3 linked regions of the Sus scrofa genome follow. The protein of the gene in region 2 purifies or fractionates together with the protein of the main gene of each other region. This does not show direct contact. Links are inferred from orthologs where the notes say so. Each region holds a gene or a part of one and is shown on either strand. Other genes may lie near its edges.

What was found.
Region 1: the proteins of MTA1 (region 2) and CHD3 purify together in Homo sapiens (affinity purification with western blotting; 7 studies listed by BioGRID and IntAct, with this or other methods). This does not show direct contact. The link is inferred for Sus scrofa from reciprocal best matches to the Homo sapiens genes MTA1 and CHD3.
Region 3: the proteins of MTA1 (region 2) and HIC1 purify together in Homo sapiens (affinity purification with western blotting; 3 studies listed by BioGRID). This does not show direct contact. The link is inferred for Sus scrofa from reciprocal best matches to the Homo sapiens genes MTA1 and HIC1.

What each region holds. Positions count from the first base shown.
Region 1 is NC_010454.4:53,134,518-53,144,666, reverse strand, and holds the start of CHD3 (chromodomain-helicase-DNA-binding protein 3), read right to left. Parts: upstream 5,627-10,149; 5' UTR 5,103-5,626; coding exon 5,009-5,102; intron 4,694-5,008; exon of another isoform or gene 4,679-4,693; coding exon of another isoform or gene 4,579-4,678; intron 4,019-4,578; coding exon 3,906-4,018; intron 3,433-3,905; coding exon 3,262-3,432; intron 2,989-3,261; coding exon 2,864-2,988; intron 600-2,863; coding exon 316-599; intron 90-315; coding exon 1-89.
Region 2 is NW_018084979.1:3,488,955-3,499,132, forward strand, and holds the end of MTA1 (metastasis-associated protein MTA1), read left to right. Parts: intron 1-437; coding exon 438-512; intron 513-627; coding exon 628-686; intron 687-1,027; coding exon 1,028-1,140; intron 1,141-1,406; coding exon 1,407-1,558; intron 1,559-1,644; coding exon 1,645-1,834; intron 1,835-1,936; coding exon 1,937-2,026; intron 2,027-2,801; coding exon 2,802-2,954; intron 2,955-3,074; coding exon 3,075-3,110; intron 3,111-4,800; coding exon 4,801-4,812; intron 4,813-5,640; coding exon 5,641-5,672; intron 5,673-5,877; coding exon 5,878-6,029; intron 6,030-6,115; coding exon 6,116-6,266; 3' UTR 6,267-6,788; downstream 6,789-10,178. UniProt on the Homo sapiens protein: Transcriptional coregulator which can act as both a transcriptional corepressor and coactivator. Acts as a component of the histone deacetylase NuRD complex which participates in the remodeling of chromatin.
Region 3 is NC_010454.4:48,163,414-48,173,656, reverse strand, and holds HIC1 (hypermethylated in cancer 1 protein), read right to left. Parts: upstream 5,627-10,243; 5' UTR 4,559-5,626; coding exon 4,522-4,558; intron 4,187-4,521; coding exon 2,022-4,186; 3' UTR 1,117-2,021; downstream 1-1,116. UniProt on the Homo sapiens protein: Transcriptional repressor. Recognizes and binds to the consensus sequence '5-[CG]NG[CG]GGGCA[CA]CC-3'. May act as a tumor suppressor. Involved in development of head, face, limbs and ventral body wall.

The DNA.
Region 1 (10,149 bases), on a different chromosome or scaffold from region 2:
GATTTTGAGTGGTGCCATCTTCTTTCCCCGAAGCTTCTTGCGTCCATCAGGCACTCGGGGGCTCTTACTCCGCCTCTTATGGCCTGGACCTGAGTGAGGAGTGGGGGTGGGGGACAAAAAGCCGAGCTCATGACAACCTGCAGAAATGGAGGCCATGGGGGCCTCTTGGTGGGCTGTGGTCTCACTGAGACCCCCTTCCTGGAAAGCATTTCTTTTGCAACAATCGGAGCTGAGAAGACAAGAGTTCTGGATGATACAGATTACACGCAGTTTAGAAGGTGGGGTGAGAGTTGTTCCAGCAAGAGGTTTTCTTACCTTTGCCCTCTTTGGTTTTGGCTCTTCGGATGGGTGGGGGCTGGATATCAGCAGCAGGGGGTGGTGGAAGGGCGGGGGGTCCGGAAGGTGCTATTGGGGTGGCTGACGAGACGGCAGCTGACACCTGCTCAGCTACAGCTGCGGCTGCGGCGGCTGCTGCTGCTGCCACAGCAGCTGCTGACCCCTTGAAGGGGTTGTTGGCGCTGAACTCTCTCCACTTGGCCCCAAGGATGGTCATCATCTTAGACATTGGGATCTTAGGATTCTTCTTAGCAATCAGGGGCCTGTGAATATAGAAGCAGGAGACTCAGACCCTTCACAGATGGCCTGAGAAAGTGTCTTTTCTCCTCTTCTATTAAGTCTATGTACAAGCTAGGATTCCTGTGTGGTGAAAACATGTCCTGTCAAGAAGAAGAGCAATTTGGGAGTTCCCTGGTGGTACAGCAGGTTAAGGACCAGTGTTGTCACGGGTCTGATCCCCAGCCTCAACCGGGGTGACCAAAAAATAAACATCAATTTTATAATAAATAAATTAAAACTTTAAAAAGAAAAGGAAAAAAGTTAAAAAAAAAAGCATGAATAAAGAAAAAGAGGAGTTCCCGTCGTGGCGCAGTGGTGAACGAATCCGACTAGGAACCATGAGGTTGCGGGTTCGGTCCCTGCCCTTGCTCAGTGGGTTAAGGATCCGGCGTTGCCATGAGCTGTGGTGTAGGTTGCAGACGCGGCTCGGATCCCGCGTTGCTGTGGCTCTGGCGTAGGCCGGTGGCTACAGCTCCGATTCAACCCCTGGCCTGGGAACCTCCATATGCCGCGGGAGCGGCCCAAGAAATAGCAACAACAACAACAACAAAAGACAAAAAAAAAAAAAAAAAAAAAGAAAAAAAAGAAAAAGACAAGGGAGTTCCCACTGTGGCTCAGTGGTAATGAACCCGACTAGTATGCATGAGGACACGGGTTCGATCCCTGGCCTCGCTCAGTGGTTCAGGGACCAGGCGTTGCCATGTGCTGTGGTGTAGGTCCCAGACTCAGCTTGGATCCCGAGTTGCTGTGGCTGTGGCGAAGGCTGCCAGCTGCAGTTCTGATTTGACCCCTAGCCTGGGAACCTCCATATGCCACAGGTGCGGCCCTAAAAAAGAAAAGAAAAGGAAAGAAAGAGGCAAAATTGGAGTTCCCACTGTGTCACAACAGTTACAGGTGGTGTCTTGGGAGCACTGGCACACAGGTTCGATCCCTGGCCTGGCACAGGGTTAAGGATGTGCTGTTGCCGCAGATGCAGCTTAGGTGGTGACTATAGCTCGGATCTGATTCCTTGCCCGGGGAACACCATATGCTGCGGAGTGGCCAAAAAAAAAAGGCAAAATAAAATTTAAATGCACAGAAAATTAAAAAGGAAAAAAATGGGATTAATAAAAATGCTTTACTTGTTTTTTGGGCCTTGTCTGCAGCACATGGAAGTGCCCAGGCCAGGCATCGAACCTGCACCAAAGCAGCGACCGGAGCCATTGCAGTGATCATGCTGAGTCCTTAACCCGTTGCACCACAAGAGAATTCCAAAAATGCTTTACTTTTGACAACTGCTCCACAGTTTCTAAAACACTTCCACATACATAATATCTTATTTTGTCCTCATGATACGTCTAGGAGTTGCTATGATTCCCTGCACTTTGCTGAGTTCCACAGGCCCTGATGAAGCATCTCCGCAGCTGGAGTCTGACAGGCCACGCTGCTTCTGCTCTGCAGTGGGGTGTTAAGCCCTTGCGGGGACATGAGTGACCCTGGTGCAGACGGAAGCACTGTCTTTAGTGATGAAGCAGTGAGACAACAGGACTAACGACAGTCTCCAGGGACTAACACTGCTGGGGGCCAGGCACTGGGCATACTGGGCTTTCAACCATTATCCCATCAAATCCCCACAAGATCCCATGAGGTGCGTCCTCTGGGTGTGCCTATTTTACAGATGCGGAAACTAAAGATCCAAGAAGTGAGTGGAACCAGATGCCATCAGGACCTGAACCCCAGTAGGCTGCCTCCAGAGCATGAAACTGCTCTGCTGAAGTGCCTGCTTCCTCAAAAGGCATCTGTGCTGTGCTCTACTCTACTTCAGGAGCGCTGACGCTCAGGTCCCACTGTCAGCAATGCCTCCTCCATCACTGCTGGTGTCTAAGGAAGGGACAGATGGCTAGATCCCTGAGCAAAGGACACTGGGGGACACGAATGTTCTCTCTCCACTCCAGTCTAGACAGAAGTCAGCCAGGGGAAACTGCTGGAGCAGGAGGCCATCAGTCCTCCCTGAGTCTGTCACTACAGTTTTCTAACCTGGCAGTGGAACTGTGTCCCCCCCCCCCCCCCCCAGTGAAGGGTTCCTGACTGGAGTCCTTGGATCCTCAGGAGCCCAGGAATTTCCTGAGATGACATGCGGAATTTGATGTGTACATGCTGTGAATTTCTCTGGAGAGCAGTTTCTTATCTTCCACCAGGTTCCAGAGGGATCCAGGGCCTCCCCCTATTAAATGTGTCTGCTCGCAGGGACTCCCCAGTCCTACCGCACCTCATGAACTGGCTGAAGGCTTTGTAGTTGGTGAGAGTGTGGTAGTCCTCTTCGGAGAACACATGCTCCACGTCCTCCAGGCCCCAGGTCAGAAGCAGGGTTGCTGACGACTTCTGCTCCACCTGCTGGAGAGACCGGGCTTCCGTGAGGAGGGCGCCTCTCCAGCCCCAGTCCTGGACCCCCACATGCTCCTCTACACACCCAGGCACCCAGCAGGGGCACCCAGCAGCCTCCCGAGGCTTTCTGCCCCTGCCCCCTTCCCAGCCGGCTCCCCTCCTCCCCAGGGGAAACTAGACTTTCCACTTAGCATCTGCTCGTCCCCTCGCTCAGGGCTTTCCCTCCTCCGCCTCCACCTGTCAATGATCCTAATTCTCCCCTCACGCCCTAAATCTACTCACCTTTTGCCCTCCATCTCCCTCCCCTTTTTTCCGCCGCTTTGTCTTTTTCTCCTTTTTTTCTCGGTGCTTCCTTCTCCGTTTCCGACCGGGTCCGGTTCCATATTCACTGCCTCCACTCTCCGACTTCTCCCGGTACTCATCTCGCTCAGAGCCAAATTCCTCCTCGCTGTCCTAAGGGAGAGAAATAAAAATAGAATTTCTTTAGCCCTACCATGTGCCAGAAACTTTTCTAAGCACGTAACGTGTGCTGTCTCTTTCAAACCTCACAACGACCCCATGAGATAGTAACTTATCTATTTCTACCCACTTTTTGCAGATGAGGAAACCGAGGCACAGAGAGCCAAGCGAACTGCTCGAGAAGACAGAGGACTACGGGGCTCGGAATTCATGCAGTCTCCTGCCGGAGCCTGGGCTTTCACCTGCTCCTCTCTCCTCCAAGGCCAGTCACGGGGCCCACAGGGCTCCCCACTAGGATGCAGTGAGGGAGGCTAGGGTGCCAGAGCCCAGCTGAGGGGGCTGCGTAGAGGGGGTCAGGCCTTCCCGACTTCAGGATCCCCCCCTGGTAATCAGGACCAGAGGAAGCGCAGGCCTCTGCAAATGGGTCCCCGGGCCTAGCTGTAGAGACAGGAGTCCTGCACACTTACAAGCTTCTTGCGTTTTCGGGGTTTCCCTGGCTTGTTCTCCTTCTGCTTCTTGGGTCCTCGTTTTCTCTTCTTCACACCCAATGCTGAAGGCAGCAGCCGAATGTCATCTTTATCTTTGGAGCAGAGGGCACCAGAAAACTTAAGTCTCTATGTTCCCAGGCTCTGCGGCCCCTCCACTGCCTCACCTCCTAGGTTCTCACTCTCTAGGAACTCCCAGCATTAACTCTTCCAAATCCTGCCGCCCTTCGCTGGATGCACCCGAGTGTTTCGAGTACTCTGGGATGCTCGGATTCTGAATGGGAGGTCAGGGGTCAGAAGGGAAGAGCAGCCAAACCACTCCCTCCTCTCCCCTCCTACTAACAAGGGACCAGGCTCTAGGCCACGGGCTCTGACTGTGGCAGGTCCTTTTAGTCGCCGCCAGGGCTCCTCCTGCCTTCCCCCTCACTTAGCCAGCTGGCATCCTGCCCAGGAACTGGGGAAGCCATGCCCAGCTGCTGGCCTGGCCTGACCCCAGCACTTGGAGTGGGGAGACACAAGCTGGCAGCTCCCTAAGCCAGATGCTGAGAAGGCAGAGCCAAAGGTGGACACCTGGATTCTCACGCTAACACCCTGGGGCCCTGACATGCTTTTTGTGAGGAGGGAGGCCTCTATTTATAATTCCTCAGAGAGTCACCAAATCTCCTGTCACCCCAGCACAGCCCTGGAGGAAAAGAAATCCTCAGCCAGTCATGCCCACTTCTTGCCCACAGGATGGCGGGGTCTGGCTCCTGCATCACCACCGTCACCCCATAGGAGAAGAGCTCCACAATTACCTAAACATTCCTCCTCCTCCCAAGCAGCCTGGAATCCGCTTCAAATCTATTTTCACATCCCTGAGAACTCAGGGGCCCTACCCTTTGTCCTCTGGTCTCACCCCTTGTCTTCAAATTTAGTCCCAGACATTCTGACCCGTTCCTATGTCAAGAGTGTGGGAGACCCAAACAAAGATACTGGACCCCACCCACGGCACGCACATGCTCAAATGCTGAAGCCTCACACACACACACACACACCACACACACACACACACACGTAGGAGCACAAACCCTGAAGACAGCCTGTACCTGCTTCCCGCAGGGCTAGGGCCCTGGCTTTCTCTCCAGATGTTTCTGTCAGAGAGGCTGGGGCTGCTTCTTCCCAGATGTCCCCCCACCTCATTCTCCATGACCCCTGCCAGTCTGTGGTGGCTTAGGCGACAGAGCATAACTCCACCAGGAGGAAGACGCTGATGGATGCCACCCAGACATGAGGCCCTGCTTGGCCTCCCTCCTCCAGCAGGCACCAGACTAACCAGCCAGACCTGTCTTACTCAGGCAGAGGCAGCTGTGCAGGAGAGGAAAGCCTGGGCCTGGCCCAGCCCCTTGCTCTGGGACACACAATCCTTCCTCCCACACCAGCCAAGGGAAAATTAGCCACAATTAACACCGGAGGCCTCGGTTTCCATTGCCTCAGAATCCTGGCACCTCCTTCCTTCAGTGCTGCTTCTCCTAGTCCTGGGCCCTCCCCAGCAGGGAGACACTCTAAGACTGGGGTGGGGGTGGGGGGGCGCGTGAGGGCAGCCCGGGCACTGAGTGGGGCCTGCAGGAGGAAGTCAGTAAAACGCCGGTGCCCAGCAGCCAGCGCTCCCTAACCCCGGGGACTTCGGTTAATAAGAACATGGAAATGGAGGCTGCCGGGGCAGTGGCAAGGGCAGGCCAACTGGCTAAGGATCAGGGAAATGGCCCCGCCTCCGCCCGCGGGGGGGGGGGGCACAAGCCCTGGGACCTCACAGCCAGTTAACTCCCCCCCACCCCCGCCGCGCGCCCCCCGCCGCCCGGCAGGAGGTTCCCGAGGCTGGGCAGGCGGCGGCGGCGCGGAGAGGCAAGGGAGACGGCGAGGAAGGGGAGGGCAAGAAAGCAAATCTAAGTCCCAACCTCTGTCTCACCAGCCACTCAATGCTGGCCCGGAGCCCAGACGCTCCCACATCCCGGCTCGGATCTCGGGAAGACGGCGAGGGAGGAGGGCGGCGAGGAGGGCGGGCGGAGCCTGGCAGCCCAGAAAGCAGGAGGAGCCCGGCCGAAAGCCTCGCCTCCCGCCCGCCCCTCTCTTCTTCTAATCTCACCATCAATCTCTCACACATATATTTATTTTTTCTCAAATTCCTCTCCCTCCCCCACAACGAACCACCATAATAGGTCGGCTGCACATGCGTAGTGCCTGCAGGGGGTGGGTTTGTATTTTCAGACCTTTTGCAAAGAAACTACCAGAATTTTCCGCACCACCCACACGCATTCCCCACCCCCACCCCCAAGGAATCACATCTATATATTATGTTATATTATTTCTCTAGACTTGCCAGAAGGGGGAGGGAGAAGAAATGAGTTTTTGGCTTCCTGCTCCCTTCCCCCATCTGCACGAGCGCTATTATTTTAAACGTCTAACAATGTAAGGAGCCTGGAGAGGGGGAAGGGATAAAATTGGTCTTGGGTAAGAATGTAAAACAAAATGGTGAGAATCAAAGCAGTCGGAATGAAAAAAAAAAAAAACAATAGAAACCTCTAACACGGATAAATTCATCTCCTAGAGAAGGACGAGGGAGGGCAGCCTGAATACATTTGCCTCAGAGGAGGGTTATTTTGCCCACGCTTCTGTAGACAGAAATAATGGGCAGACCGAAAATATTTTCCTGAAGTTTTACCTCAGAAAGTCATCTGAGGGGGTGTATCCGGGTCCCCCGTTTGACTTGGAGGGCTGAGAGGGACATAAAATTGCCCTGGGAGAGAGAGGAGGTGGGTTTCCATTTCCAACGCACAATTTTAAAAACATTCGACGTTGTTTAGAAAGCGGAGGGGAAGGGGGAGGGAGTACTGACACAAAGACCCATCTCGACCTCAGATCCCTTCATGCTCCCCCTCTCCCACACCCAAATCCAGGGTCAAAGCCCCCCAGACGCCACGTTCCAGGTTCGGAATACACACAGGTGAGAATAGCCAGCCCCTTAACTTCACCTGACACCCTTTCTCTTTTTAGCACCTCTGCCGTGCTCCAGGCAACCCCTTGCCCTCAATTCTTTATCCCTTTTCCCCCCTGCAAAATCAGTGGGCTCTCTGGGCAACTTTTTAAAAACTTTTCCCTTTTTCAGACAAGCCTAGGGGCCAGAGTGGGGGTAGGAGTGGACTTATCTGTTTCCATCAGACAGGCATCCCCCTCCTCGCCACCAAGAAAGCACCCCCCGCTCCCTCAAAGGCCGTCTCAACTAGACAGGAACATTTGCCACATGAGCCACCCAGATCAATATGACAGTTTTACCAAGAACCTGATGTCAGATGTTTTGAAGTTTGGTGCATTTGCGCTGCATGGCACCCAGAGGCCTGGGGGTGTGAACACCCGAAAGATGCTCACCTAGTCTATCCTAAAAAAGACTAGCAACACTCCACCGGGAAGGTAGCCAGAATGGGGCCCCTGGACGCGAGGCAGCCGTCAGGCCCTCCAGCGCGGGCGGAACTGCCCAGACAGTGCGGGCGACTTGTCAACCCCGGGGAGGGATGCCGAGTGACGGTCAAGCTGCAGAACAGCTGGGTGGGCAGTTCACGCCCCCCGACGTGGTCAGGGTGTGGGTGGTTTCAGCGGGAGAGTGAGTGACAGTGAATGGCAGCCACGTGAGAGTCACAGCTGGGCAGCTCGGCCACCCCAGACTGACGGGGTCATGGGGGGGGGCGGCGCACTTGACACAAAAGAGCCCAGAGGAGAGAGAAAGGGGGTGGGGTTGGGGGCATCTGTTCTCCCAGACACTCCCCTCTTGCTCCCCAATCCTCAGTGACTGCTCTCCCTAGTACGAGCCGAACCGGGAAGAGGGGGCAGGAGCCAGTCTCATTCCAGGAAGTGGTCTGCGTGGAGTGTGGCCACCACCTGCCCCTAGTCGTCAGCCGCCCGCAAACATTCACACGACCCCTCCCCCACGTGCCACCGCACGCCCCAGAGTTGGCGGGCACCGAAGTCCCCGCAGGTGTGGGGGGGGGTCCGAGGGACACCCGCCCCCTCCCCAGCCGCTCCCCCGGCCTTCCCAACTCCTGACGAAGGGTGGGGTGGGGGTTAGGGCCGCGGTCCGCTCCTCGCGCGGAAACCCCACTTCACCTCGGTCCAACCCCACCGGGGCCGGAGCCCCAGGGGCGCCCGCGCGGCCGCCCCTCCCCCACGCGCCCCTCCCCCACGCCGCCGTCCGGCCGCCAGGGTCTCCGCGGTCCCTCGCTCGGCCAGGGAGGGGGCCCTGGCTTCGCCTTGGACGTTTCCTGCCTACCCCCTCCCCGCCGAGGATAAAAAAAAAAAAAATCTCCTCCTCCTCCTCCCCCGAAAGCCGCGACCGAGTGGCCCGGTCCGCGCGCGCAGCTCGCGCCCGGCGCTCTTCAGCCCGGGCGGCGGTGGCGGCGGCGGCGGCGGCGGCGGCGGCGGCGGCGGCGGAGGGGTGCGGCGGGGGAGGGGAGGAGGCCTGGCCCGGCGGCCGCCACCGCCGCCCGCCTGGACCGCTCGGACCGCCGGGACCGGCGCCGGGCGACGGGCCCGAGACGGCGCTCCGCGCCCCGGATTCGCCTCGGCTCGGCCGCGCGGTGGGTGCCTCGCCCCCGCCCGGCTTCGGGCGCCCGCGGCTCCCGCTTGGGTTTGGGGGGAGTCGGCGGCCGCTTACCTGGCGGCGGGGGCGGCGGCGGCGGCGGCGGGGGCGGCGGCGGCGGTGGCGGGAAGAGGTGGCAGCCGGGGGGGCTGTGGCGGTCGCGGCCCCGATCGTGGCCCGGCCCGCGCCCGAGTACTCCCTCGTCGTCGTCCTCCTCGTAGTCCTCGTCGGCCGCCTCCACCTCCTCCTCCTCCTCGTCGCCCTCTTCTTCCTCCTCTTCTTCCTCCTCCGACACCACCATCTCCTCCTCCTCCTCCTCCTCGTCCCTCAGAGGGGAAGCCATCCTGTGGCTCTGGCCCCCCACCACCCCCCCACCCACCGCCCGCCCGCCTCCCCCACCGCTACCACCACCACCTCCTCCTCCTCCTCCTCCTCCTCCTCCTCCTCCTCGGCGGCGGCGTCCTCCTCCTCCTCCTCCTCACCGCCTCCCCCAGCCCCCAAAACCCCGGGCCACCCCCTCCGAACCCCCCTCGGGGCCGCCGTCTGACGAGGGGGGCCAAACCACCCCCAAAAATTTTCTTGGAAAAAATTGAGGACTTTTTTTTTTCTTTCTCTCCTTCCTCCCGAGAGAACAAGAGAGGGGGATTAAAATATATATATATATATATATAAAAGTTTTCGACTTCTCTCTACCCCCCTCTCCGTTGCTTTAAATATATTTAAATTCTGAGGGGGGCGCTCAGAAATATTTCTCAGAGCTGAGGCACTAAGATGGCCGCCTGGAAATTATTTTTAAAACAACCCCCCCTCCAGCACCGCCACCCCCTCCATGAAGAAAGGGAGAGGGGGGAAAAATCCCCTTTTAAAACAAAATGGCTGGCTTAATATTTCATTTTTCACCCCCCCATTCTCCTCCCTGTTACACCCCCATCTCCAAGCCTCTACCCAGAAACCCACAAATTTCTCCCTTTTTTTCATAACTGATTAGTGCACAGATTAATAGAGATATTTTCCTTGTGTACTGAGTATGTGAGTGTGTGCGTTGGGGGGGCATGAAGGATTTCTGCATAAAACAAAAATGGCTGCTGTGACTAACTCCCCCCTTATAAAAAAATATTTGAGGGGGGGCATTAATCAGTACTCATGCTCAGTCTGACATCAGCATAAATTGTTAAAGGTTAACTAGTTAGATACTAGTCCAACTAGATTTAAATTTTTTTCTTTTCTTTACTAGTCTCTTCCTCCCCACCTCCCTTCTCTTAAAGAAAAGCTTTTTTTTTTTTTTCTGAATACTTCAGAAGGGAGTGGTTTGATGTGAAGGTTTTTTTTTTCCCCTTCAGGCATTGAAAAGAAAAAAGATGAAATATATGTTTATATATAACTCTGTTTCTACATACCTCATTGAAGTCAAAACGCATTTAATTGTATACGTATCTTTTAAGTGAGAAGCGGTACTGGATTTTTTTTCCTTTCTTTAAAAAAGTGATAGAAATCCTAGTGACTTTTGGGGGAGAGATATGAATAGATACGATGATTGAGTTTTTTTTCAAAGGAGTCCATGTTTGATTCTCCCCTTTGCCCAGCCTTTTCAGCGATTTAAAATTGTTGTAAATTTTATCC
Region 2 (10,178 bases):
GGGTCCCTGACGCACAGGCAGACGCTGTAGACAAATCCGAGCCCTGGAACCTCCTCCTCGTGCGCTCGTAGGAACCGGGTCCGCGGGTTGTGCGGTAAACCCAGGGCAGCCCAACCCGCACCAGCGAGAATTGCCCCCCCCCCCGCCGCCCTCCCTCTCGGCGGACTCAGATCAGCTGTAGGAGCCCAGAGCTGGCACCTGGACCCGGGGTGGGGGAGCCGGAGCCCGGGAGCAGACAGTCAAACCCGCAGGCCTGGGGGGGGCGGAGGAGGGGGCAGGCCTGGGGGGGGCGGAGGAGGGGGGCACACTCGCACCGAGCGGGGGGCGAGGAGGAAGCCCGCGCATGGGAGCGGTTTGGGAAATGTGGGGTTTGCCCGAGAGGAAGTTCGCCTTGAAGGCGCGTCCCCGGGCCCCCGTGACGGGCCCTCCTCCCGCAGCTGCCCTGGAAGTCGCTCACCAGCATCATCGAGTACTACTACATGTGGAAGACCACCGACAGATACGTGCAGCAGGTGGGCGCCGCCGCGGCTCCGTGGCCTGGGGGCCGCTCAGGGTGGCCAGGCAGAGGCGGGCGGCGTGGGGACCCACCTGCGGGTCCTTCTGACCCTCTGTTTTTTGTGTTTTAAGAAACGCTTGAAGGCAGCCGAAGCAGAGAGCAAGTTAAAGCAAGTTTACATCCCCAACTAGTAAGTGCGCCTCTAAGCACCATTGCCGGCTGTCCTTGGCCAGGCTGGGTGGGCCGGGGGAGGGGCACTGCCTGGCTCGAGACCAGGGGGGTCCGGGGGCGGCGGGCCCGGCCCTGGCTCTCCCTCAGCCTCCCAGCTGGCACAGGCGTCAGGACTCAAACCTGCTCAGCCCAGGGTTCACTGGGGCGGGTGGAGCTCGGCTGTAGACAGGAGCTGCTCTGGGACCCGAGGAGAGAAAGGCCACATAGGGGGCATGGGTCAGCGGCTCCCCCAGGGCCAGGCGGGTCCCGCGGTGCGAAGCTGGGCGCTCCCGTGACGGCTCCCTCTCTCCCTCCCCCAAGTAACAAGCCAAACCCGAACCAGATCAGCGTCAATAGCATCAAGGCAGGCGTGGTGAACGGCGGGGCGCCGGGCCAGAGCCCTGGGGCCGGCCGGGCCTGCGAGAGCTGTTACAGTAAGTGCCCCGCCCAGCACCCAGGGCACACCCCGCCCCTCAGCGCGGGGTGGGGGGGGCAGGAGGGGGGCCAGGGGGTGGGGGTGGGGCCTGGCCTGGGGGCGGGGGCCCACCCTGCCTGGGGAAAGAAGCCCTCTCGGAGCGGGTGCCGGGGTGCCCGGGCCCGGGGCGGGCAGGGTGGCGGGCGGGCGACAGCTGTGTAATGCTCTCTTGCCATCACTGGTTCTGCTTAAGAATCCGTCTATTTCCAACTTTGTTGTCCGTAGCCACCCAGTCTTACCAGTGGTATTCTTGGGGTCCCCCTAACATGCAGTGTCGTCTCTGCGCGTCTTGTTGGACATATTGGAAGAAATATGGTGGCTTGAAAATGCCAACCCGGTTAGATGGAGAGAGGCCAGGACCCAACCGCAGTAACATGGTGAGTGCCCACCCCCCGCCCCCCGTGCCCCGCGGCCTGGCCCGCGGTCACGGCGCTGTGTTGGGGCGGCCTGCCCCCTTCCGCAGAGCCCCCACGGCATCCCAGCCCGGAGCAGCGGGAGCCCCAAGTTTGCCATGAAGACGCGACAGGCTTTCTACCTGCACACCACCAAGCTCACGCGGATCGCCCGGCGCCTGTGCCGAGAGATCCTGCGCCCGTGGCACGCCGCCCGGCACCCCTACATGCCCATCAACAGCGCGGCCATCAAGGCCGAGTGTGAGTGTCCGCCCGTGGGTCACGGTCTCTGGGGGGAGGAGATGCCAGCGGGGCGGGAGGAGGAGCTCTGACCCGGACCCCTCACGCCCACGGCCCCCACAGGTACGGCCCGGCTGCCCGAAGCCGCCCAGAGCCCGCTGGTGCTGAAGCAGGCCGTGCGGAAGCCCCTGGAAGCTGTGCTGCGGTACCTCGGTGAGCTGCCCTCCCACCCCAGGGCCCGGCCGGCCGTCTCCCTCCCTGCTCCCCCCTTGCCCCTGAAGTCCCCGGGCTTCCCCATGCCCACCCCGCGCCCCCAGGGCAGGCTCCCGGCTGGCTGGGAGGTGTGCCCAGCTCTGCAGCAGCCTCTGAGAGAGGGCCCTCGTGGCCTGGGGCTCCTGAGCCCCTCTGCTGGCTCGGCCAGGGGCTTGGGCGGGGCGGGGCGGCCCGCTTTGCCGGGCTTGGCCGTGTTCGCGAGTCAGTTCCTCCTGCTGCCATGGCGGCCTTCCCTCTCGAAGGACATTCCAGAACCGTGAGCCAAGCGTGCTCACGGCAGATACAAGTGGCCCTGACACCATTTGCTGTCTGGGTCCTGAGGCTGACCTTGTCCCGACCTGTGGGAGGGGGTGACCTGTGTCCCCTGAGAGCCCCTGAGGGCTGGGGAGCCTTGGTAGCTGTGACCTGTGGCTGCCAGGACAGCCCTGGGGGCTTGTCCTTGCCCAGCCGGCCGAGCCGTTGATGCAGTATCTGGCTGGTGGCCAGCCCTGTGCCATGAGTGCCGTTGACCCCTTCGTGGGCCTGCTTATTTATGGGTGCCTAGAGCCCCACTGGCTGGGGCTGAGACCGAGGAAATCGGCGCCAGGGGCTGTCCTTGCTCAGGATGCCCAGGGCCCTGGTCGCCATGGACCCCCCGTGTGAACTGGGGCCCTCGGCCAGGGCCTGGCGTCACAGCTGATGACCCACAGCGTGCCTGCCGCGTTGTCCCCCACAGAGACCCATCCCCGGCCCCCAAAGCCCGACCCCGTGAAGAACGTGTCGGGTGTGCTCAGCGGCCTGGCCCCCGCCAAGTCGGCCCCCGTCATCAACAACGGCTCCCCCACCATCCTAGGCAAGAGGAGCTACGAGCAGCACAACGGGGTGGACGGTGAGTCAGGGGGCTTGACCAGCTCAGCCCGTGGTCCCGGGGCTCCCGGCCCTGGACCCGCCCCACCCATGCCCACTGACTGTGTGTTCTCTCCTCTCTCCTGCCGTCGGGCGCTGCCAGGCAACGTGAAGAAGCGCCTCTTGATGCCCAGTAGGGGTAAGGCCCGGGGCGCCGCTGGCGTGGTTGCTCTGCCGGCCCTCTGCGCGGAGCCTGTGTGTGCTGTGCTCACGCATGCGCGGCAGCCGGCTCAGGGCACGTCCAAGGGCAGTCCACGCGGGCTGGGCCGCGCCCTGCTGCCCCCCTTCTCCCGATTCACCTGTCACTCGGCAGAGATCTGAGCGCTGGCCTCTGGCTCACGGGCCACCCCTCCTTCCTGGCCCAGTGCCCGGTCAGTGGACTGTCCTTGCTCGGGTGGCCCTGGTGCCCCCGCTGCCTGCCTGCACTGTCTGCCTTCGCGTTGTGACCGCCCGCATGCCATCAGCCTCAGCTTGCGTGGCCGCCTGCGCTGTGCTTGCAACCTCAGCCTATGTCCCTGCCCAGTGGGGGGTTCTGGGACCCTGGTTCCTTGGGGGCAGATGAGACACATTTGTGGTCCAGCTGGCATGGCTTGGTGGGGGTTTACAAGACCTGGGTGGACTCCTAGGCCAGGGCCCCACAGGGAGGCACAGCCAGGGCTGGGGGACCCAGAGCTGAGGCAACAGTGCCCTTCCAGGTGGGTGGGTGGGTGGGGGTGCCATCGGGAGCCAGGTGGGCAGTGTCCTCTGGTGTGGGGCGCCCCTAGCTTGCCCAGAGCCCTGCTTTTGCCCCCTTAGCTGGGGAAGGCGTGTCTGGGCACGGGCTGCCCCAGCATGGGCGCCGGGAGGGGGTCGCAGCGGCAGCGAGGGATGTGTCCGGCGCCCGCGAGGGTCAGCCTACAGTAGGATCCCCTGCGGACGGTGAGCAGGGAGCCAAGCCCAGGGGGCGGACCAGGAAATGCACCTGGCGCTCCTCCTGCCTGTCACTCGTGATGGGAAGGTCAGGTCCCATGTGGGCACTGTGCCTTGTGGACATGCCAAGGGCCCCCACCCAAGCTCAGGACTGGGAGCGCTGCCGGCCCTGGGAAACTGGCCCAGGTGGTCGGCCAGGCTGGGTTATCCTGGCGCCTGTGGGGGGTGGGTGCCAGCCATGGGGACTTGGGAGGTGGCAGCAGGCAGTGGCCATCTCCAGTCCAGCCCTGTCCTCTGGGTGCTCCCTTTCTCGGCTGTGTCTGGGAGCCTGGCAGGTGTGTTCTGTGGGGTCAGCCGGTGGTGCCAGTGCCAGGTTCTGCCAGCGCACTTGTCTGGATGCAGGCTCTTGCCTGCCCTGCTGCCTCATCTACGACCCCCTTGGTGGGGACGAGGGGCCCCCAGGGCAGGCACCAGCACGCCTGGTCCCCAGCCGCGTCCTCCCTGTCGTCCCCTGTAGCCGGGGCTGCCAAGGTGCTAGGGCTCAGCAGTAGGGGCTGACCTGCCCTGCTGCCCCCACGACAGGCCCCTAGGGATGGTCCTCACGTCCCATAAGAGAGGCCGCCGCAGGCAGGCGCCCGCCAGCAGGCACAGTGGGGCCGCAGTGTGCAAGGCTGCTCATCAGCCGGGGGAGAAAGTCCATTTCCCTCTGCAGCTTTTCCCAAACCGATGTGTTTGCACATCTGCTTCAGCCCCGAGTGCAGGTCCTGGGAGCCCTGGGAGGCGGCCCCGGCTGGCCTTGGGGTGCTGCGGGCGCGGGCCAGCGGCAGGGCCTAACTCGGCCTCCACCCCGGCCGCCGCGGCACACGCGCCCGCTCCCGGTTAACTGCGCTCTCTTTCCTCCGCCGCTGTCCCTCTGCTAGGCACCTACCTGGGTAAGTAGCCGGGCCGCAGGGCTGCCGGCGGTGCCAGGCCCTCCCCCCGCCTGCGGGGCGGGGGCTGAGTTAGCGCGCGCGGTTGGTGGGGAGGGCGGCCGCTTGGCTCTTGTTCTGCTCGTCCAGGGACAAACCTCACACGACCACGTGCACACACCTGTTGCACACGGACTCTCGTGACCACGCAGCCCTCACACGCCGGCTCACGACCACGCACACGCGCTCCCCACACACAGACACCAACTCATTACCCCGCACACGCCTTCCTCACAGGCCGACTCAATCTGAGTGTGTTTGGGAGTTGGGGTCTTAGGGACCGGTTCACGGTGTGGACTCTGACTCAGGACAGCACCTTTCCTGAGTCGCTGGCATGGCTTGTGGCTCCAGCCCCCAGGCCACAGGGTGGAAGTGCAGGTGCCCTGGCCGGAGCCTGGCCAGCTGGCAGCTCCGCCTCCCGGGGTCCAGCAGGGCTGCCGGGGCCCTGGCCGCCCTGCAGAGGGCCTCTCGGTGCTCTATTTACAGCTGTGCCAAGCGTCGCCTGGTTACTGTGTAAACCAGGTTCCATCTGTCCCGCCCAGGCAAAGCCAGGGAGCGAGCTGAGATCCGAGACTCCTGGCTCCCACCCAGAGTCCCGGCTGGTGGCCCTCAGAGCGCCAGAGAGGGGCCCGGGCAAGGCCAGGACCCAGGGGAGCAGAGGCCCCCTGGGTGTGGGCTGTGGCTTTGGGGGGATGTGGCCCAGGTTTCCTGCTGCTCAGCTGTGGGTCCTGGGGAGGAGGTGGGCGTGGGGGGCGGTGGCCCAGGGCTCAGCTCCGGCCTTCCTCCCCTCAGGTCTGGCGAACCACGGGCAGACCAGGCACATGGTAAGAGGAACCCACCTTCACACGCTCCGCCGGCAGCCCCGCCAGGCGCTGCGCAGGAGCTCGCCCCCCCCCCCCCCGCCTCCGCGGGACCAGAGGTGGGGTGCGCCTTGGGGTCCCCACGGCCCTCCGAGGGTCCCCTGCCCGCCGGAGTGGCCGAGTCAGCCCCCGGGGTTTCAGGGCTGACCGCTCCCGCTTCCCCCCACAGGGACCAAGCCGGAACCTCCTGCTCAACGGGAAGGCGTACCCCACCAAGGTGCGCCTCATCCGCGGGGGCTCCCTGCCCCCCGTCAAGCGGCGGCGGATGAACTGGATCGACGCCCCCGACGACGTCTTCTACATGGCCACCGAGGAGACCAGGTGCGGCCCGCGGGGGCGGGGCGGGGCGGGGGCACCGCGTCCCCGTCGGTCCCGTCGGTCCCCGTCACCCGCGGCTCCGCTCACAGGAAGATCCGCAAGCTGCTCTCGTCCTCGGAGACCAAGCGCGCGGCCCGCCGGCCCTACAAGCCCATCGCCCTGCGCCAGAGCCAGGCCCTGCCGCTGCGGCCGCCGCCGCCCGCGCCCGTCAACGACGAGCCCATCGTCATCGAGGACTAGGCGCCGCCGCCGCCGCCCCCTCGCGGCTGCTCGGACCACAGGCCGCGCCCCCGCCGCCGCCCGCCCGCCCGCCCGCCGCCCGCCGCCCGCCGCCCGGTTTTGGTAGTGCCCCTGCCCGCCCTCACCTGCCGAGAAACTGCGCCTCGCCTGGGAGAGCCCGGGAGCCGGCGCGGTCCCTCGCCCGGAGCGCCCGCCCGCCCGCCCAGGGGTCGTTTTTTTAGCTTTGTGTTTACTTTTTGGCCGGAGCGGAGCCGAGGAGCCGCCCCGAGTGCCTGCTCCCCGCTGGGCCTCGTGGGCCGGCCAGGAGTTCTGTTGTGTTCTGTTGAAGGTGCCATTTTAAATTTTATTTTTATTACTTTTTTTGTAGATGAACTTAAGCTCTGTAACTTACACCCGGAATGTTAGGGTCGGCGTGGCCAGCGGCCGGCCGAGCTGCCTGGTGGGGTGGCCCCTTGTCTTTTCAAGTAATTTTCATATTAAAAAAAACAAAGAAAAAAAAACTCATAAAAACAAAAAACCAGCTAACCCTTCCCGTGTCTTTTGTCCCTGGTCCGTCTCCCTCCCTTGGGCCCACCAGCCCCGACTCTCAAGGGCCCGCTGGGCACGTGGCCCTTGCTGTGCCGGCCTCCAGGCTGGGCTGGGCCTCCTGGTGCTCCCCGACCCTCTGCCCCGTGTCCCTGGCTCCTGCATCCCTCCCCTGGGGCAGGAAAGAGTCCTGCCAAGGCTCAGGGCTCTCATGGGGGAGCTGAGGTCCCCTCTGTCTGTCCAGGGTTGCGGGGGTGGGGTGGGGGTGGGGGTCTGGACCTGGCCTGGGACCGCCTGGCAGGTGCCGGGCTCCCATCGTGGCAGCCGGCTGGCCAGCCTGCTCCTGGCAGAGCCCTGCCTCAGCTGTCTGAGGATTTCTGCCAGGAGCCATGGGGCCACCCCAGCAGGTGTGGAGTTTCCGTTGGCGAATTTGCTCAGATTTCAGCAAGTCCGTTCTCAGAAATCCTACCTCGGGCTGGCCCTCTGCACACACCTTCGCGAGCTCGCGGAGCAGGGGCAGCCGCTGGGGGGAATCCAAGAGTGCCGCCTCTCAGGCTGCGCCGCCTCCACCACCGCAGAGAGGGGTCAGCTCGGCCCTCCTGGAGGGGCTCCCTCCTCCCCAAGCTCTGCCGCCTGCTGCTCCAGCCCTGCCGAAGTGTAGACAACTCAGCTGGGGAGCTAAAATAGAAACCACTCTGCTCCCTCACCGGAGGCAGATAAGGGGTGGCAGGCCAGGGTGTCAGAGAAGTGCCTGTGGCACCCCCGGCCATTTCTAATCTGCCGTTCTGGCGCCACCCCCGCCCGTGCCCCACTGCCCTAGGACTTGCTGCGGTGTCTGCGGGGGGCTGGGAGACCAGGCTGGTGACCTTGAGAAAGACATTAGCTTCCTCCGGGGCCTTCTCCAGACCTGGGGTCTGAGCCTGCGGACCCCCCAGGCCCGAGTGAGCTAGCTCTCATCCTGACACAGCTCTCTGTCCCAGAAACAGACAAGCCCCGAGGAGAGTCGGGCTCCCTGCCCGCATCGCAGCACCTGGGAGGTCTGAGCCCGAGCGTAGGGATTGGGTGGGGATCGGGCACCGGCTGGCAGGGACCAGGGTCCTGGGCACCCCAACATACGTTTGCCAGCTTTGCCCTGTTCTCGTGGACCCGGCAGGGGGCTGAAGCCATCCTCCCCAGCCCCCAGGGCCAAGGGTAACTCAGGTGGGCAAGAGTCCCCACAAGGGCCTCAGCCTGGGGCCCCCTCCCTGCCTGGACCTCCCGCCCCCCGCCCCCCGCCCCTGGACCCTGCAGGAAAGAAAGTAAGTCTGGGCTCCTCTGTGTAGCCGGGATGACAGGTGATCCGCAGGGCACCATGCTGCTGTGGCCCCAGGGGAGGGGCCTCCGCCGCACCTGGCCACCTGGCCTGGCCACCTTGGGGCCCTGCCTGTTTCCCTCAAACTCTGCTGTCCTCGCTGGGAGCTGCCCGGCCTGTGCCTGCCTCGCCCTCCAGTCCTCAGTGGCCTCGGAGGCAGATGCTGCTGCTCTGCCCCTTCCCAATCCAGGCCCAGAACAGCTGGGGGACGGCACTGCCCCACTCCCCTCCCTGCCCCTGGGACACCCAGCCAGGGCTCCATGCCCATTCACTCTCCAAGCAGGGCTGGGGCCCACAAGTAGATTCCTTCCCAGGAAACACCTGTGCCCCACCAGCCTGCCCTCCAGAGCAGTCCTGCAAACTTCGGGGGCTGGGCGGAGTCAGGGAGGCCGATGCCCCTGGGGGTCCCCAGGGGCTCCCAAGCTGCCGAGGAGGACCTGGTAACGGATGCCAAACGGGGGCAGAGAGACCATGAATTATTCAGAGACACCTGACGCCCAACCTGAGCTAGGAGCAGGCTGTGAATGCTGACCCACACTGGCCACCTTGTCCAGGGAGCTCCAGCAGGCCTCCCCTCCGGCTCCACCCTGACTGGCAGGGGGCCAGAGCTGGAGTGTAGAGGGAGGGGGGCCGGTCAGGCTGGTCAGTCAGGCTTGGGGGCCACATGTTTCTGGGTTGTTGACCTCCCTTGGGAATGGCAGTGGCTGAAGGGTGTGCGTGCAGGCCCAGGGGTGCCTCAGGGAGCAGGGCCAGGGTCGGGCTGCCATGAGAGGGCTGAGACGCTGGCTCACTCACTCAACCACCCCGTGAACATGCTGGGGCTAGGGGCCAGGAGCAGGTGCCAGGGCCACCAGGCAGAGGAAATGGGGAGTGGGGGGCAGACCTCAGTGTCTGGCACAGAGCCTCAGACACAGGGCAACGGGTGAGGCTCGGCTGGGGATGGAGGCCCCGAAAAGAGCCTATGAACGAGCAGAGCCCCTGGGAAGTGGGACAGGTCCTCCAGGTCCCCACGTCCTGGGGGTTAGGGCGAGGTTCTGTATGGCTCAAGGGCGGAGACAGGGAGAGCCAGCCGGGAGCTGTCAGCCAGGTCCCTGTCGACCGGAGGACTGTGGACCCCTGGGGGGGGGGACTCCGAGTGCCGGCAGACCCCTGGCTCCCCAGCCTTCCAGAAAGATGCTTTGGGACCAGGCTGGAGGTCAGAGGCCCTGGGTCCTAAGCCAGGTCTGGAGAAGAGATGCCCGAGGCAGGTGTCTTGAGGAGTGGGGCAGAATGCAGAAGGTGTGCACCTGGGCATCTGGGAAGAGGGCACTCCAGGAGCGCCCCATCTCCTCCCCCTCCTCCCCTCCCAGTCCTACCGCCACCTTCCCCTCGGGTTCCCTTGCTGCCAGCATCCCCTCCCCCACCCTCTTCCTGCAGTTTCTCTCAGGATGTTTTGTTTGCCTTGGGCCGCCCCATGGCGTATGGAGCTCCGGGCCAGGGATCAGATCTGAGCCAGCCGCAGTCGCAACCTAAGCCGCAGCTGCGGCAACACCGGGTCCTTAACCTACTGGGCCGACGGGGGGGCGGCGGAGGGGGTGGCGGGGGAATGGAACTTGCGTCGCGGCTCTCCCTAGACGCCCTACCCCGTTGGGCCTCAGCGGGAACTCCCTCTCGCGCTGTTTTTGGAAGTGGCGGGCGCCCAATCCTCCACCCGCCGAGACTTCAGCACACTCACAGCCTTAGGTGGGGTCGGTGGGGGTCTGAACCCGGTGGCGCCCCCATCCAGAATCCCGCTCCTATCCAAGCGCGCGGGTTACTATAGAAACCAAGAAACAAAGGGAAGCGGGCGGCGGCGCGAGGCAGGGTGGGGTAGGGTCCTCCGGGGACCCAAGCGCCAGGATCAGGCAGGACCGGCCAGTCCGCCGTTGCCGTCAGTCTGCGTGTCGGGACGCCGCCCTTCCGGACAGAGGCCAGCTGGCCAGGACTCCCCCGGTCAAGGGGGCCCGCGGACTCTCGGCCCCACCCCGCCGTCCCGCTGGCGGCCCCCACGTTGTCAT
Region 3 (10,243 bases), on a different chromosome or scaffold from region 2:
TCTGCAGGGCGGGGACATCTGCTCTCAAGCCCATGCTTCCTGGGTGGCCTTTCCCTGCTCCCTTTCCCCTCACCGGCCTTCCTTTTGCTCTCGTTCCCCCTTCGCAAACCGTCCTCAGACTCTTCTCGATTCGCCCTCCCGCTCTCCCTCCTCAGTCATCCATCCCCCTCGGCCTCCTTTCTCCTTGACCCCTCAGCCTCCAGGCCCCTCAGTTCCTTTCCATGGGGCTTCTCTCTCTCAGTCCTCCTCCTGCGAGACCTGTGGCAGGAGCCTAGTAAAGCCTCCCTGCCCTTGACCATCTTCCCCAGGCCTCTGTGCTCTGAGAAACCTTCAGGCTGGTCCAGTCCAGCCTGAGGGTGGAGTGGGCCAGTGCCTGGGAAGAGCATCGCTTAGCCTGGAGTTTGCACCGTTTCTAGCTTTGCCCTAGGACGACCGGACACAGGGAGGGGCCCTTTGGCCTTGGAGTTTTGGGGGTTGCCTCCTTAGCTGGCACCTGTGTTCAAAGCCTCCTTCCTACTGGGAATGCGTTCTCTCGACCCAGGGACAGGGATGAGGGGAACTTCGGGGAGGTTAGCGTTTGGAGGAGGAGCCCAGAGTAAATTTCGATGGGACCAGTGGGGGACTGCCCCAGAGCCTCCTCTCTGTCCATGCAGAGGCTGGAAGCAAGGCTGTGCTCTCCCTGAAGCCCAAGATTACGCCAGAAGGAGGGGGAACTGTGCAGGAGAGCCGAGGCCAGTGACTGACTTGGGGGGAGTGTAAGTCCCCCAGGGCCTCAGAAGACTGGGGGCTCTTTGGGATACAGGCTTCCCAGCTTCTCCTTTGAGATCCTCTCCCCTGGATGAGGGCTGATGACCGGGTCGGGCGGAGCGCGGGGCGGGGGGGGGAACCCCATCTCTTTTCTGTCCCATTGGCAGCACTGCTCTTGTTTCCTTAATAAATTTTTAGTTATGAACATGCCTGACCTCTTGCTGATCTGTCTCTGGGACTGGGGAGGGAAGGTCCGAGCCTCCCCACCTGTATGAGAGCGCTGCTTCTGGCCCCTGCACCCATCCCAGTGCCGCCGCCCCCCTCTTCCCCAGCTCCTTGTGCAGGGCGAAGAGAGCTGCTAGGTCCGGGGTCCTTGGTTACTGCTTTATTGCTGTTTGGTTCGAGTATAGAAAATGGAAGCGGCTCTGGAAGAGCCTGTGTACAAGGTAGGAAATAATACAAACGAGGAGGAGGGAGCTAAAGAGACCACGTTCCAGCCCAGCCCAGCCTGGGCTCGGGGTGGGGGGCCACCCGGGGCGCATGCAATAAATATGGTCCGGGGCCCCAGGGAAGGGAGGAGGGACCACCGCGAGAGTGGTGGGAGACTGGGTAGGCCAGGGCCGCCTCAGCCCTCTGACTCCAGAGGGAGGGAAGGGTTGGCCCTGGGGCTAGTGCCACTTGTGCAAAATGAGGAACTTCACATTATCAGTCCCGGGGCGGGCGGGGGGCGGGGGCGGGGGGGCCCTCCGGCCGGCTCAGTCCCCTCCCCGCTCCCCAGCTCTGCCCGACGCTCCGACCCCAGCAGGGAGATTCACAGTGAGAATGGGTGTAGTCGCAAGGGCCGGAGGTAGGGCTGGGAGCGCCCCAACAGTGACACCCCTCCCCCCAAGAGCAGCACGGAGCCGAGGGAGGGGGCCAACGAACCACAGGAAGAGGCGGAGAAGGGCCAGGGGTCTCCTTTGGTCAAAGCTGATATCAAAAATATAAATCTCCCGTCCCCCATCCCACCCCCGTCCCGGGGTTTCCCCCCACCCCCACCCCGGGCTAAGGCACAAAGCAGTGAGGCCAGGTGAGGCCGCAGCGAGGTGTGGCCGTCGCCCCTGCGGCGACGCTGCCGCTGCTACGAGAGTCGTCCGGGCGCGGGGTGCCTGCCTGCCTGCCTGCCTGCCTGCCTGCCTGCTGGTGGCCGCCGCCGCCGCTCCCTGGGGGCGCGGACCCGGGCCGCGCGGCGGCGGCGGCGGCGGCGGCGACAAGGCGGGCGGACGAGAGGCGCTCTAGGTGGGGGAGAAACGGTCGATGGTCCGGCCGTCGGGGCCGGCGGCCAGGTGCGCGCCCTGGCTCAGTACCTCCGCCGCCTTGTCGGGGCTGAGGCCCAGCTCCGCTGTGAACTTGGCGAGCGGGTAGAGGCTCTCGAGCGCCACCTTCGGGTCGTGCAGGAAGTGCGTGGTCTGGGCCAGCAGCTCGGCCGCGGCCGCCTTGTCCTGCTGCTTCAGGCTCAGCTGTTCAGCCGTGAGGCGCGCCACCGCAAAGACGCCCTCGGGGAAGTCGAGCTTGCCCTTGCCGTCGGGGCCGGGGACGCCGGGGAGCGCCCCCAGGCCCGCCAGCGCCCCGGCCGCTCCCGCCGCGCCACCCACGGCGTGCATTTTCATGTGGCTGATGAGGTTGCGTTGCTGGGCGAACTTGCCACCGCACACCTGGCATTCGTAGGGCTTCTCGCCGGAGTGGATGCGCATGTGCTCGGTGAGGCGGTACTGACGCGTGAAGCGCATGCCGCACGCGTCGCACGCGAAGGGCTTGAGGCCCAGGTGGCTGCGCATGTGGCGCGTCATGGTCCCGCGCTGCGTGAACTTCTTCCCGCAGATGGTGCACGGATAGGGCCGGGTCAGCCAGTGCGTCTTCTCGTGCTGCCGTAGCGTGGCCGGGTCTTTGTAGCTTTTGTCGCACGACGCGCAGCGGTACGGCCGCAGCAGCTCACCCAAGCCCCCCGGAGCCCCCGCGACTTTGTCCCCACTGCCTCCAAAAGGGGGCCCGAGGCCGGCGGCCCCCGCAGCCACCTCGGCCGCTTCGGCCCTGCCGTACAGCGCCGCCTCCTCCTCCTCCACGTGCGCCTCCACGTGCGCGTTCAGCTGCTCCGAGCTGGGGAAGCCCTTTCCGCAAGGGATGCACACGTACAGGTTGTCACCGAAGCTCTCGGGCTCGCCGTAGGCCAGGTGCGGGCACGGGTAGCCCTCGAGGTGGCCCGCGGGCGGGCTCGGGTCCTCGCTGCTGCCCGTCTCCTCGCTGCTGCTCTTGTAGTCGTCGCCGTCGCCGCCTGCGCCAGGCCCGTCCAGGCTGCCGGGGTAACGCGGCGGCGGCGCCAGGCCGAGCGGGGGCCCCCCGGGCGAGGCGGCCGGGTCCCCGCCGCGCTCCTCGCAACGCTCGCTGGGGGAGCCGCGCTCGCGGCCCAGGTCGTCGCCGTAGCTGCCCAGGCCTGGCTCGTGCTTCATCCAGCGATAGAGGAGGCTGGGCCCGTCGGGGCGGCCGGGGGGCTCGGGTCCCGGGCTGCCACTGCCGCGGAACGGGTCCGGAGGCGGTCCGGCCTCCTCCAGCTTCTGGAAGGGCAGCGGCGGCAGCGGTGGAAGGGCGAGCGGCGGCTCCTTGTAGGCTGCGGGGCCGGCGCTGGGAGGGCTGTCTGGGCGCGGGGGCAGTTCGCGCTCGCCCGGCGGCCGCTCGGGGGGCGCGGAGCCCGGCGGGCTTTTCTTGGACAGGTCCAGGCCACAGAGCGGGGAGCAGCGGCGCTCGGGGGCGCACAGCGCGGCGGCCGGGCCGGGGCCCGAGGCGTACAGCTCGGCGCAGTGCGTGTTCACCGCGGCCTCGGGGCCCGACGGCGGCTCGGCGGTGGGCGGCGGCGGAGGCCCGGCCGGGGACGAGTAGCAGGTCTGGATGACGGGCGTGGCGGCCCGCAGGCCCCGGCCCGGCCTCCCGTAGGGCGCGTAGCCGCCGCCGCCGCCGCCGCCGCCCCGCAGGTGGCAGTACTTGCCGTGGCGCTTGAGGCGCTTCTTGCACAGCGCCACGAGGTCGGGGATTTGCAGGTAGCTGGCGGCGGCCAGCACGGCGCCCAGGCTCGGCTCGGCCCCCGGAGCCACCGCCGCCGCCGCCGCGGCCTCTGCGCCGTCAGCCAGACGGCCGGTGTAGATGAAGTCCAGCACCAGGCGGAACACGGCCGGGCTCACCATGTCATGATCCAGGTTGAGCAGGTTGTCATGCACCACCAGGGACTTGAGGTAGGCGCTGCTGGCCGCCAGCACATTCTTGTGCGCGCGGAAGAGGGCGTTCTGCACCACGATGATCACGTCGCACAAGAAGCCCTTGGTGCGCTGGTTGTTGAGCTGCAGCAGCAGCTGCCTCGAGTGGCCGGGAGCCTCCATCGTGTCCAGCATCGTCTGCCCAGCACAATCTCCTGCAGGGACACACACCGGCCGGGTCAGAGCCGCAGCCAGCCCTCGCCGCCTGCACCCAGCCCGGCGCTTCTCCCCTCCACTTCCCCTTCCCCTCAGCTGGGCAGGGGCATCGAGCACCGCGGCCTGGGCGCTGGCGGAGGATCCGCGGCCTCTGGGAGTGGGAGCCTGGGCCGGCCGGCCCGGACCAGGAGAAGGAGTCGAGACTGGCTGGTGGAGAAGAGGCCAGGCTGGCCTGCGCCCCCGGGCCCGGATGCCGCCAGGCGCACGGCCTGGGTTCTGGGGGCTTCTGAGGAGAAAGCTGTTGGTGCGAAGTCACCCTTTGGGAAACAGTTACCCGATTTGAGGAAAATGTCCGCTTCAGGAAAAGTCATTCAAGGCCGAGAAGTTTGCCCAAGTGGGATATAAGGGAGCCGCGTAAAAAAGCGCCTCCCGCCTCGGGAGAAGTTGCCCCAGTTGGGGAAGTGGTCCGTAGGAGGGGAGCGCGGTGCCCGTCGTGGCGCCGCCCTGGCCGGGGGCTGTCAGGCCCTCTCCGTTGGGCCCCGGGCGGCGGCCGGCGCGCGGGGAGCGGAGGCAGCGGCTGCCGTGGCGGGCAGAGCACGAAGGCCGGCCCGGCGCGGGGAGGGCGTTATATCGGGGCAGGAGGCTGAGGCAGGAAGCAGGTGGGGGGAGGGGGGAGCCACGCAGCTCCCAGGGGAGGGAGGGGGCAGCGCCCCGGGCGGGCACGGCGCACAGCCGGCTGCGGCCCTGACCCTGGCTGCGCCCCACCCGCGTCCCGGCCCTGGCCTCGGCCTCCTCTCTGCATTCGCCGGCCCGGCGCCTCCCTCCGCAGCTCCCCTCGGCCCCTTCTCCACGGGAACTCCGCCGCCCCAAACTTGGGGAAAAGTTTCCCAACTTCGGGCTGGCCGGGAGGAGCGCGCCAGGCCCCGTGCCTCGGTCGCAGCTTTTCCTCTCGGCCCCCAATTTCGGCAGAGCCAGGCGCTGCCGGGCCTGAACCGAGCCCAGAACTCCCCGGCCGTCCGCTGCCCGCCCGACCCTTCTCCCCGCCTGGCCCGCAGGGCCTCGCGGCCCGTTACCTGAGGCCGCAGCCCAGCCGGGCTTCCCTCCCGGCGGCGGTGGCAGCTCCTTGCCGGCGCCCCACCCGCCCCGCTGCCAGGCGCCGCGCTGTGCCAGGGCAGCGCCCCTGCCAGCCCCGCCCGCCAGCTCCCCTTCCCTTCCCCTCGCCTCTGCAACCCATGTGCGGGCAGAGCCGGGCCCGGGCCGCTGACCCCGCCATGAACCCGGCGCAGAGTAGCGTCCCGGCGGTCCTGAGTTCTCTAGGAGCGACACCCGGAGCCCTGAACGCCAGCCGCGTTGGGGCGCCCGCGCCGGAGGATGCGCCCGAGGCGGCCAGCGCGCGAGGACCGGGCGTGTCCGGGTCCCCTGTCCCTCCCGGTCCCCAGCCCGAGGACCCACCTGGGGGGCATGTCGGAAGCCCCGGGCCCGGCTGCCGGCGGATCCAGGGGGGACGTGGCTGCGCTGCGCTGCCCTCCGCCCTCCGGGCCCCCGGTCGGTCTGTCCTGCTGGTCCGTCCTCCCCGCGTCCTGGTCGCGTCTCAGCCCCGCTGCTCTTTCCGCACACTCTTATCTGGAGCGGCCCGGGCCGGCAGGCGCCGCTGCAGCTATGGCGCCACCTCGCGGCGAGACTTGGCGCGGCACAGCCGCGACCTCCCTCCTGCGCACCTGGGCTGGAGGATCGCAGATGCAGGGCTGGCGGAGGCGGGGGCGGGGGGGGCTGTTCGCAGGTTCAGCCTCCCAGATGTGCCCATCTGGAGACCCAAGCCTCGGACCTGCGAGCCCCACAAGCCTCGGGATTTTGAGCTGAATGATCCCATGTACATATTTCTAAATTCTCAAATTGCCCCAATTCAGAGAAGTCTTGCCCACAAGGAGGAGACTCTGGTGAAAGTAGATGGTGTAAGAGAGGTTCCGAAAATCCTAAGGAAGAAAAAGATAGACAAGATAGTAGGGTACCCCCTAGATATTCCTGGGTGGGACTGTCCGTTTGTACCCACCCACCCCCTCAACACACCCTCCCTCACTCAACCCTGTGGGTATGGTATGCACAGAATAAACCCATCTGCACCCAGATCCTCTCTAGGCATTGACACTCGAAGGCGCTCATGTTTGCATACACACCTGCCCCCTTACGAAGTCCCGGCTTTCTGGCATACTCAGGGGGCTGCCATGTAGAGCCCTCTGTGACCTGGGCAGAAGTGGTACCCAAACAGTGCACGCTGAACTTGCATATCTCTGGAGGGACCCCAGGATGTGTGACAGGGGAACGGCTGGACAGAGCCTCTTGGGTGGTCCCGCAGAAGAGACCTAAGCTCCCAGATACCCTGTGCGAGCCATTTTTGAGGTACGCGCAACGGTCTTACAGCAGGGCCTGGAGCCCAGGATCCCCCGCAGGGTCCTGCACCCCCAAGTGAAGGCCCATTTCCTGCAGGTGACGCCCCTTCTAGGAGGGAGGGGACCCCTGCACTGGTGAGCGGGCAGTGGCACAGCTACTCCGGAAGTGTACCGCGCCGCCCCGCCATCACGCCAGGCCTGAAGCCAACGCCTGCGTGGCTGAGTGGATCTCCTCAACCCACGCTCCGCCTCCTCCCCGCACCTCCTGACCCCCGCCCACACGTGGAGGGTGGGAGTGGGTTCCGAGAAAGCCTGCAGCTTTTGATTGGCTGTGCCTCCCTCAGCCGCGGCGCACGAGAAGATGGGGCGCAGAGTTACCATAGTAACCGATGAGGTTCGCCCAGATCGCGTCTCTCCGAGGCCTTGGAGAGCTTAGCAACCGTGCAGGACCGCTGGGCGGTGGGGACGGCGCTCGCCGCACCCCCGCGCTGCCCTCCGCCCCCACGCCCCCGCCAGAGGTAGTGGCTGAGTCATTCATTGAAGAGCCGCCCGCGCGGTCGCTCGCAGTCCCAGACAGACACCAAGGTCTCGGGCGCCCCCCAGAGGCTCCCTTTCCTATACAGGCAACTACATGGCCTTGGGACCAGGCGGCGGCTCCTGGTCCCCAAAGGTTATTTTGACCCCCACTGCTTCCTGAGTCTGCCCTCACCCTGTTTCCACTCCTTGTTCTGGGTCTATCTTATCCCAGTCCTCTGCTCCGACTCCCCCACAACCCTGCTCCGGGGTCCTAAGGAAGTATGAGTTTCCAGGAATGAAAATGGGCTCCGGAGCTGTCAGCTTCTACGGGAGATGGACCTCGACATCTCTCTCTTTTTTTTTTTTGTCTTTTTAGGGCCCCACCCGCGGCATACGGAGCTTCCCAGGCTAGGGTTCCAACTGGAGCGGTAGCTGCCAGCCTACACCACAGCTCACAGCAACACCAGATCCTTAACCCACTGAGTGAGGCCAGGGATGGAACCTGCGTCCTCAAGGATACTAGTCAAATTCGTTTCGGATGAGCCACAATGGGAACTCCGGACCTAGACATTTTGCCGGAGGGATGTGCTATGCACTGAGGTGGAAAGTGTATGGAGAACTGCTGGGAGGCAGGAAGGTGCCTGAGAAGTGCTCTTAGATCTGGGCTTCTGTGGATGAATAGAAGTTCTCTCCCCAGCAGGAAGGCATTACTGGAGAAGAGAAGCAGCTGGACAAAGGATGGAAGTGAAAAATGGAATTCTAGGAGGCTAGACCCCAAAGGGTATGCAGGACCTCTTTGATCCCATTTCTGCTGTAATCTTTTATCTCCCTGATGGGGCCAGATCCTAGCCCTGCGAGGGTCCACTCAACCCCCTCTCTTGTTTAGTGGAGTCTGTCCACTGAGGCCCCACCCCAGGGTCCCCTGTGCCCAAAGCTATTTTCTTCAACAGTTCCCAGATTCCTATTCCCCGGGTTAATTCACTGCCCCAGCCCCTCCCCTCAAGCTGTCTTTACATCAGAACTGCCCCAGCCTAGCTGCCCTCCTGTGGACTTCACACTTCTTGACCTTTCCTTCCCTCCCTATTGCCACTGCCCTGGCCTGGTGTTGGACCCTTCCCACCCACCCCCCACCCTGATCTAGCTCCTTTCTCTGAACGCACTCCCCTTCCCCGTTTAAAACTTTCTTCAATTGCTCAATTGATGGAGCTAGGCTGGGCCAGGATCATTCTTTTCCCTGGCTCTTGTCCAGAACGATGCCCGCCCCCCCCACGGCATGGGCTCTTGCTGCCAATTCTGACCTCTGGGAACTTTTTTTTTTTTTTTTTTGGTCTTTTTAGGGTCTCACCCGTGGCATATGGAGGTTCCCAAGCTAAGGGTCAAATCACAACTGTAACTGCTGGCCTACACCACAGTCACAGAAACTCAGTACCCAAGCCGTGTTTGCAGCCTACACCACAGCTCACAGCAACGCATGATCCTTAACCCACTGAGCAAGGCCAGGGATTGAACCTGAGTCCTCATGGATGCTAGTCGTGTTCGTTAACTGCTGAGCCACGACGGGAACTCTAACCTTCAGGAACTCCTCCGGCAAGTGGTCTCTGCCCTGGTACCCCCTGGAGACTCTTCTCTGCTAAGCTGCTGAGCCCTTGGTCTCCTTGCTCATTATCACCCCCATATGAGTTCTGCCACTGTCTATCAGTCCACAAATGGATCCTAAACGCAGTTTGCTGCACGCCAGGCTCTGAGACTGGCCCTGTGGACCAGCTTTCCTCTCCTCCACCTGCTGAGGCTTCCTCTTCCAGTCTCCCCTTTCTCCTGCCACCTTTTCCCCAAATCCCCCACAGAGGACCCGCTTGCTCTTTTCTGGGGAGTCCAAGCCACCCTCTCAACTTTTCTGCCTTCCCTTGGGTCTCCAGATCCTTTCTGGTACCTGGACCCACACTGGGCCTTTCCTTCCAGGTTCAGCCTCCTTCTACAGTCTTCCAGACCCATGGGCTCCTCTTCCTCATGTCCCCGACTTTGAGGAACTAAATGCTGCCCTAGGCCCCTCTGAAGGTCCAGTTTCCTCTCTTGCTCCCCCCTCCCCGATGACCACTCCGCAGTGGGCTTGCGGCGTATAAGGCCGCTGAGGGTTATCTTGTGACGTCACAGGGCCGTCGAGTCCAGGAACTGAGGAGTGGGAATAGGGGCTACTGGATGAGGACCTTGGAAGGCCAGGCGGGGGTGGGGTTGCGCCCTCAAGTGTCCCAGAGCGAATAAACAATCCCCCCTCCCCGCAGAGTTCCCCCGCCGGCCCCCAGCCCGCAGTTCCGGAAAGTTAACCCCTTATAGACCGCTACGGGGGGCGCGGGCTCCCCCACCCGGTTCCTGCTTCCGCGCTCCCTCCTCTCCCTCCCAGCTCACCGTCGCCTCGGTCCCCACCCCCACCCCCCCGCCTCGCCACTATAAATAGCCCCTCTTCCCGTTTCCTAAATTCCCTGCTGACGTCGGCAACGCGTCAGTGTGTAGGAGCCGCGGCCGCATGAATGAGCCGCCGCACGAGTACTACGCGCGCCTATAAAAGCCGCCGCGCCAGCCTGGCTGCGGGAGGCGAGCGGGCGCGGGCGCAACACAGCCGACAGGTAAGTGGGACTGATCGACCGACGGGCGACAGATGGACCGATGCACGGACATAGACTGGAGGGCAAGGAGGAGACCGGCAGGCTGAAGGTTGGAGGGCCCCTACGGGTGGGGTTGGGGACAAGGTGGAGGGGACGTGGGTCCCTTAGCAGCTGCTGGAGCCAGAGCCAGAGGCGTACACAGAACCCTGAGCAGCACCTGCCTGAGCCCAGATGGAGACGCAGCCACTTCGGAGGAGCATCGAACAGAGGACGGACCTCAGAGACCCCGCGGCTTTTCCTGGGAGCTCCTGCGCCATCCTCCCAGGAAAGTGGGACGAAGGTGCTGGCGCTCCAGGAGACGCGCCCCCTCCTCCCCACCCCGCAGCGCGGTGACTCAGCCTCGCTGGCCCGGGTCTGCTGAGCTAGGGCGCCGGCGAAGAACAGACGCCCACCTGCCCCCTGCCCGGCCACAGCTCTCTCCCGACCCCCTTCCCCTCATTCAGCGTGGGCGCCCCCGCCGCGCCCCGTCGGGCTGGTCCCTCTGCGCCCCCGA